Drosophila melanogaster: one gene and its partner. The protein of the gene in region 1 interacts with the protein of each later gene in a pairwise test. Each region holds a gene or a part of one and is shown on either strand. Other genes may lie near its edges. The genes, in order: CG14191 and Frq2.

Region 1 (3,472 bases):
AACAAAAAGCCTTTGCTATCCAACGTGATTTCTATGCTATGCTCCAGCTTTAATAAAAGATTAATATGCTAAATCACCACTTTTAGCATTTTAGCAATAAGAATATCTTTAAGTGCTGCGAGTGCTGGCCTCTTAGAAAAATGTTCCTTAGATTGGTTTTCCTTGATAATTCGAGCATCGTGCCGCCGTTGGCCATTATAGTCATTCCAGCCGAATATGAAATCACCGACAATCAGCGGGAAATGTATGGCTCATCTATCAGATCGAGAAGTGAAGGTTGGCTTTAACTTCAACTTCAGCACCAGCTTTTGCTGCAACCGAATCGAGTTGGTGGAGCGGCAATTAATAGCATTCTGCTTGACCCATCGCCACTGCGGGCCAAAAGTTAATGGAGCTGCGATCGCGTTGGCCGGATTAATCAAGATCGAAATTGTTTTGGGTACAGAGATGGCAAAGTTACTCAACATAAATGTGGCTTCAAAAACACAGATTGATTTGTCCACTTAGGGTGCAAGAACTGGAACTGGGGAACAACACAAAAAAAAATTGATTAAAAGTCGTACGAAACTAATAATTATATGTGCTTAAAGTTGGGACGAATCTGACTATAATAATACACACAGGTACACCAGCCATCTGGCAATTGAATTCCAGGTACTAATAACAATAAAAACAAAAAAAGTACACTTTTTGCATCGAATTCGTAATAATATTGCGACATAGCATAATTAAGCGTGATCATTTCTATTAAAGTAAAGTACCTGGTTATTAAAATGCCCAGGTACACCGCCCATTTGATATCCACCACTAGATGATGGTGCGATCGCTACCTGTTTATTGGATCATGTTGCTGGCAGCTATTGTTTATTATTTTTGCAACTTTGTGTCGATTTCGATGAATTGCATAACGAGCTGAAAATGCGCCATCGAAAGGTTTTTGGCCCGGCAAGTGCAGTGCCTTCGTCTTCGCCAAGGGTTTCCTCCAACCGACCTGGCGATGCAAGTTAGCCCACTTGACAGCTCCGGGCTGCCTGGATTGCAACATACAGTACAGTCCGCGACATAAATTAGCCCGCAGCGTGGGGCTTGTAACTTGCTGCTGCTTGGAGCAGCAGAGCTTAGAGCTCAGTGCCGCGGGTGGAGATCGGATGCTGTGTGCATGGAATGGCGTCGTGGAGGTTATGGGGATGGGGTGGGGTCAGGGCCGTTGCCCTCATGCAGACAACTGGACAACGCTGGTGATGGTAATGGTAATGGTCATGGTAATGATGATGCCGCAACTCAAAACGGACCATCGCGTGGACCGGCAATTAGTGTGTCAAACACGAGCAGACTCCACACAGTGACATTATTTCTCCGTATTGTGGGGAAATCACTCAAAGGCATATATGGGAAATGCCAATTTAATAATTATTATACTTTATTTCCCTTTAGTGTACGATGTGAAAAACTAAAAACAATAGGAAACAAATATTATACAAAGTTATTGTATATAAGCTCAGATACGGGGGGAAATTGAAGTCTTAAATTACCATAAAATCAATAAAACATGATCGCGAGATTAAAAGTAGTACTATCAACTACTATATAAAGTTGTAAATATACAATTTCAAAAGGCATACCAGTCGGTAATATTCGTCAAAAATGTATGTTAAAGTATGTATTTACCTCCTTGACTTTTCGATTAAAGTGATTACTTTAGTGATTTTTATTGGAGTTGTTTCATTGCGCTGAATACATCTTAAGTATATCTTGCTCCGCCAAGAGATGGATTAATTAGTGAGTAACCATGCCTTGCTGTCCGGTTTGGACGCGACTCGACCCACTGTGCGCCGCAGCTGTTGGGGCAGGGCAGGGTTAAGTGAGCCAAGCTGGTTACCGAGCATCCGAGTCGCTGGCCATAAAAGCGGCGGCCAAAACGCTGCAGACCACAGTCGAAGATCGCCCTTCCAGTCCGACACAGTCGCAGTTCTTCCGAAGCAATCAATACTCTCAAACACGCCAACATGAAGGTGCGCCAATCGCGGATTAACACTTTCACAGAAAGTGAAACCCATTCTTCGAATATTTTTTTATGTGTACCCTTTTGTGAGTTCAACTAACGCGTTTCCTGCCAATCTCTTGCAGGTTTTCGTCTGCTTGCTGGCGGTGTGCAGTATGGCCCATGCGGGTTTCCTGGGCGGCGGCGGCGCAGGAGGTAGTGCCCTCAGCTCCGGCTGGTCATCCGGCGGAGGAGGAGGAGGATATAGCGGCGGATACAGTGGTGGCCATGGAGGAGGTGGTGGCTACGGCGGTGGTGGCTACGGCGGTGGTGGCTACGGCGGCGGTGGCCACGGAGGCGGCAGCACGATTAAGATCATCAAGGTGATCACCGATTCCGGAGCTGGTGGTGGTGGCTACGGAGGTGGCTACGGGGGTGGCCATGGAGGTGGCTATGGAGGTGGCTACGGAGGCGGCTCCTCCGGTGGTTACAGTGGCGGCCACGGAGGCGGTTGGTCATCCGGCGGTGGATACGGCGGTGGTGGCTACGGAAGCGGTGGCAACGTCAAGATCATCAAGGTCATCTCCGACGCCGGATCGAGCGGCGGGTATGGCGGCGGCTACGGCGGTGGTCACGGTGGTGGATACTCCTCCGGCGGTGCCTCCAGCTACTCCGCCGGCGGTTGGGCTCCTCAGGGCGGTTGGGCCCAGAGCAGTTGGTAAATGCTCTCCGTTGGTCAACGGATACTAACTTGTTACTGTTTCTCACTGACCTTAATTGTAAATACTTCCCAACATTAACCAATAAAACAGTGCGGTATAGAAGAGCCATTTCCACTATCAAAACAGAAACTAATGTTTCTTTTTTAGTAATAATCCGATATAGAGATTCTCGATATAAATCCACCTTGTAATTCCAAGAAAATTCGTTTTCAAGATTGTAAGAGCTGCTGATGCATCGCTTACAATCAGTCAGCTAGCAAATGAACCTATCAAAAGGTTACACTAAAAATTTGCAAAATGTACAATAGGTGGATCTCCCATATATGATGCCCTGTCAGGAGTTACGAGGACATCCCCAAGGACCTCAGTCCCGCGCCAGGAGCCGTCTAATGTCCTCCTGCTCGGCGGCCTCCGCGTAGCTCTGCCCCTCGGGCGTGCGCTCCGTGCGGCTGGCTCCCATCCGGAGCAGGAACTCGACGCAGCGTGTATGCCCCTCCCATATGGCCGCCAGGAGCGGTGTGATGCCGTACTTGTCCTTCCTGTCCACCTCCGCGCCGATCCGCACAAAGAACTCCAGCAGCTTCAGCTGGCCAAAGTCGGCGGCGTAGTGCAAGGGGAACCGGACGCCCATCTGATCGTTCACATTAAGCGATCCGGCTAGGAAAATTCGCTCCACCTCGTCGTACACGCCGTTCTTGATTGTCCAGATGATGTCCTCGATTTTGTGTCCATCGCCCATCGTGATCCGTTTGACTCAGTTTTTATCCGT
Region 2 (5,075 bases), 900 kb from region 1:
AATTTTGCCCGCAGATGCGTCGACTGAGGCAGCGCAGCGGGCAGAGGCAGCGACAGAGGCGTCGACATCGTGTTTATCTAGGCAGCCCAACTATTTATAATAAAAGGCTGCCAGATTAAAAACACCAAAATAGATTCTGTATCTGCAGCTGCATCATCTCTGGCTGTATCTGTATCTGTATCCGAATGTATCTATACAACAAAATAGCAATAAATGCGAAAACAATGAGCAAACGTTCGAACAAACAATTCTTACAGAACCCACCCCCCCCCTTTCGGCACGCCCCTGACCTACACAACCAGAATAAATAAACAGTAATTATAATTGGCCTGTTTCGGTCTCGAATTCGATTCTTTAGGCATCGGCATCGCATTCGAGGCAGCATGAGTGAGTAAGTCGCTGCGGGCGTTGCTGCCGCAATCGACGTCGATGACGCGGTATCGCCCTATCCCCCTCCTCCCGCCCCCCCAAAAAAAAGCGCCCCTCTTAGGTGCGACCATTAAGGCCCCCTCTTTCGTGCACAATTGCGAATTTATTCTTCGCGCGTTCGCTGGCGAACTGCAAATTGAAACGGGAAATGGAAATGCTGCTTCTGCGTCAGTTGATCGTCATAATCAATGATCGGCAGGCAGATACTTCAACCAATCTAATCGGTTCCAAAGAGATCTTAAGAGACCATTTAGTTGATGGAATACATAGAGCAATTGAGAAACCAATCAATGTGTATGTATTGTATGAGCAGCTATAAACTTGTGCTTCATTTCGAAGAACAATGCATTTAATTATAGATTACTTTTCGAATAGCATTCGATGCTGGCAGGAATTTGAACTTAAATACTTTGTTGGCAACTTAACAACTACAGTATATACAGAAGATTTATGGGCATTTAAACGAAAATCAAATGTTTAATTATAATATTGAAAGTGTTGCTTTTTGGCGGCTTTTTGATCCGTTGGCCAGCGTAATATAAAACAAACTATTTAAATTCGAGTGTAGAATAAGATTGGATGATAAGATTGTGCCAAAAATATCTTAAAGATTCTTCTAGTTTTGTTCTCTATTCGAAGCGAATAGAGATGATCCAAGGCAATAAAAAGGCAAACAAATTGATACCGATTCTGTGAAAGGGGGACAATGTTTTCGCTTATTTGACATTTTTTGAAAAATTAAAACAAAAAAATAATGCAATACAGATAAACACATAAGGAGAATATTTAAAGTGGTTTAGCATCTGTAAAGTAATAAAGAGCATTGCCAATTTCTATAAACCTAGTAGTTTATTAGATTTAAGAAATATTTAAATAGTTAAATTCAATTAGTAATTTGACCTTTTGGCCTTTTCCTTGCTGACTTGAGTGTTTTAAGTTCTAAAAATCGAAATGAATGGATTAAAGAGGTTCTATTTGGCGATAGTGTCTGCAGAGTTCGCCTAGGTGTTGTTATATTCAACCGATCTAAACACATGTATATATATATATATACAAATACGAACAGCAGCAGCCCAATAAACGGTTCGTTTGATTTGACTGCCGGCCCGCCTCCGTATCTTTATCTGTATCTTTAGATATAGTATCTGTATCTGTAGCAGGGGCAGGCGTTTTATTGTTTATTTGCCCGCCGCTTTGCCTTTTGTTATTCGCCAGAATTTTTATTATTTACTATATTTAGGCAGAGGCCAAGAGGAAGAGCAACCTGCTGAATAATTAGTCACAGCCCAACCACGACAGGCGGCACCTGCAAGAAATGCAAAGTAAATTCTTCAATTGCTCAATTCCTCAGCCCATCCCTACGCCGACTGCGCTGCTGACGTCGACGCCAACGCCGACGGCGACTGCGACTGAGGCCCAGGCCATTTGTGCGACTGCTGGCATTCGATTGCCATTCGCACAAGTTGCATGTTCGCGACTCGATTTTCTGTTTCGGTTCGGTTTCCTCATTGTTTTTTTTCGGCTTCCTCTATTTATTTTAATTTTTTTCCGAATTTTTGTTTGTTTTTTTGGGTTGCTCGCGTGCGCTGTGCATATTGGAAATCACCACCCGCCCATTTGCCACCCACTTTGGCCAGCAAAAGCAACGCCAAATAACAAATAAAAAAAAAAAAAATTTAAAAAAAAAAAAAACAGCCAGGGAATTCTAATTAAGTGTGCGCGCTAATGCGTTAAACTGCTAGCCAATTTGTTTTAAAGCCAAAGTGAAAAGGCCTTTATAGTCCATTGTTGGCTGCTGTTTGTTGCTGTTTCGCCTTCAATATTTGAGTGGAAATTACATCCATAATTACGCTTAATCAGTCGATTACTGTCATCGCAAACACGAACCAATCCGCAGACCCACCGCCGCGTTTGATGACCACACAAATGAGTGCCAGGTATGTCGTTACTTAGCCCCGGATAAACAATATCACCCCTAACCTCCCAATCCCAATCCCAATCCGAATCCAGCTAACCAGATAATTAGGCAGATTTCCCGCGGTGGTTTTGATGGTCAGGATGGATGGGTGGTATTTTGGGTGGCAGTTTGCGATTGACAATTGGCTTGCAGTTGCATTCGATTTGCGGTCCACGTGCGGTTGCATTTATCTTTGGGCACATACCCTGCGGTTATTACGACAGTTTTAGGTCGATGACTTTGGCATTCCTCGGTTTATCATGGAAAATGCGATTTTAATCATAGTTTCTGGGTTCTGCGATGCGCCGCTATAGCAGCTTGTGGCTATCAATCACATGAAGATCACATTAGGACACCAAGTGATGCATGTACTCGAAAAAGAACTAAGTAAGAACTGATGGCCATCAAAACTTTCTAAGAGCTTATCACACGCTAGATTTTATTGTATGAATATTCAGAGATATAAAATATATGTATAATTGGAATTTGCCAAAGATGCGAAAACTAATTCAATTTAAACGTATCAGCTACAGTAAATAAAGAAGCCAGGAATGAACTGCACTGCTCCTTCGTTTAACAAGGCATCTGAATCTTTTGGTGAGTGGGATTCGTTTCAAGTTGCTGCAGACACAGGCGACACATACGCTTGTAGATGAGGAGCTCGGGTGGGGGAAGTGGTAGCAGTACGTACGAGCCCGTGGGCTCGAAACCCTTACTCCTATATTCCACATAGAGCGACTGCCTCCAGAGTGAAGTTTTTGGGAAATAGCCGATTAGCAGGAAGTCCAAGGACACCCGCCATTCACCAGCTGTCGAGTTTAGGGCCACGGCGAAGATGGCGAACGAGGCGAGCAAGCGGAACACATCGAAGACATCGCCACGCAGGAACAGATTGCGCACTGCGGCCGGACAGCAAAAGATCCAGGAGCCCCATTGACCGCGTCCCAGGGCGATGAAGAGCTCCTCGAAGAGGCTCAGAAAGGATTGCCACAGCTGGCAGTCGATCCAGTGCACCAGCTGGAGCAGTAGCATTATTTCGGACAGCAGCATCAGGATGTGGACGCGGTGACGACACCGGCGCACCCAAAGTGATCGATACTGCATGATGGTCATGAGTGTGCCGCATCCAAAGTAGACTCCCGCCCAGCGTTCATTGTCGCCCACGATGTGCTTAAGCGATGGATCCAGTGGCGATACCATGCCATGGATCAACGGACGCCAGCGATTCCAGCGCACCAACATGCCAATGGCCAGGATTAGCCAGGTCTCGTAGAGATCGCGCAGCATTTCCCACGACATGCTGAGTTCATGATATCGATTCATCTTGGGCTGGAAGGGAATAATTTTGGATACTATGTACTGTGTAAAGGTGGAAAATGTAGAAAATACTGAATATCTACGTGTCGACTACTTTGATTGGCCATCCGGTAGCTTTACTTGTTGGGGATGAGCATAACTACCACCTCATCGCGCAGGTTTATTGATTAGCTTATGTTCTCACCTTAAACAGTTCACGTAAATGAGGCAACAACTGAAGCATCTGTAGTGGCACCTGCAAGTGTTTATGCATCGCTCTCTTTTTGTTTTTCATCTCCTTCTCCCTTGCTCGCATTCCATACTTGTACACACTTTCTAACACACACACACACACACATGTGCCCGAGGCCTAATAGTCGCCACAGTGGACTGGATACTTTAATTTCCCATTCAAAAATATTAACGAAACTTTGCTTACACATATGATTATTTTATTCTATGCAGAAATTTAGTGCTGCATACTTTTAGACACCTTACGAAGTTTTTTAAGTCTTACTCAGTTTTTTATAGCTAATCTTCTTAGAAGTGCCAAGTGGTGAACTAAAGACCCCCCATTGAATTAAATTTCTTTGCATGCACTCAAACGAAGATAAGAAAAATAATTATATCTAGGTATTTTTCTAATTACTGCATTTTCTTGTTTTTTTCCACAAACTGACATTCGCTGCAGGCGCTGCCTCCAAGGTGTCTGGCAACTAGAACTAACCCCATCGTGCCACCACCCCAACTGCCAACTGCCACCTGCCACACACACCCACACACACAACCAATGCCCCCCGTTCTACCCCCTCACCCCCTCTGTCGTCGGGCCGAAGTAAACAGCATTCGAGGGTAGTGTAAACAATCATTGACCTCGTTCATATTTCTTGGAGCGCTCGCTCATTTGCCTTTGGCCCGAGTCCCAGACGTTGACTCTGCCTGGTCGCAATTAAAATTGTTGTTTAGCTAGTTGCCCCCATGGACGACGTCGCCCCCTGGTCACCCCGTCATCCTGGTCCCCATTTACATTCCCATTCGCATTTCGTGGGGAAAACAGAATCATTCGGCAGGCGGCATTTGGGCACCAATTAGCCTTCGAGAAAAGAGGCAAAAATCTGATTCCATTGCGATTTCTCTGCCCCGGCAAATGATGATGAGCACAAGGCACAAAGGCAAGAAGCCAGAAGGAATTAGGAATCAGGAGCTGAAAGCAGCCCAGAGCCCAAAAGAGCCAAATCACGATAGGCTCAATGGCAAAGACACAAGAAAAGTGAAACAATCAGGGATCCGGTTAATCGGAAAAACCGAACTGGGCCATACGCTTTTATGGCATATTCATTTTAATGGGCATGTTGAGTTTGCAGCACTAAAGTTCCGATAACTATTATCCACT

The links.
Region 2: the proteins of CG14191 (region 1) and Frq2 interact in a two-hybrid assay, tested with the Drosophila melanogaster proteins (one large-scale study listed by BioGRID).

What each region holds. Positions count from the first base shown.
Region 1 is NC_004354.4:19,079,738-19,083,209, forward strand, and holds CG14191 (uncharacterized protein), read left to right. Parts: upstream 1-1,927; 5' UTR 1,928-2,006; coding exon 2,007-2,012; intron 2,013-2,127; coding exon 2,128-2,703; 3' UTR 2,704-2,829; downstream 2,830-3,472. Other genes in the region: CG7423 (uncharacterized protein), read right to left, coding at 3,068-3,442.
Region 2 is NC_004354.4:18,175,726-18,180,800, forward strand, and holds the start of Frq2 (frequenin 2), read left to right. Parts: upstream 1-1,886; 5' UTR 1,887-2,366; intron 2,367-2,800; exon of another isoform or gene 2,801-2,959; coding exon of another isoform or gene 2,960-3,709; exon of another isoform or gene 3,710-3,747; intron 3,748-5,075. Other genes in the region: andorra, read right to left, coding at 2,960-3,709.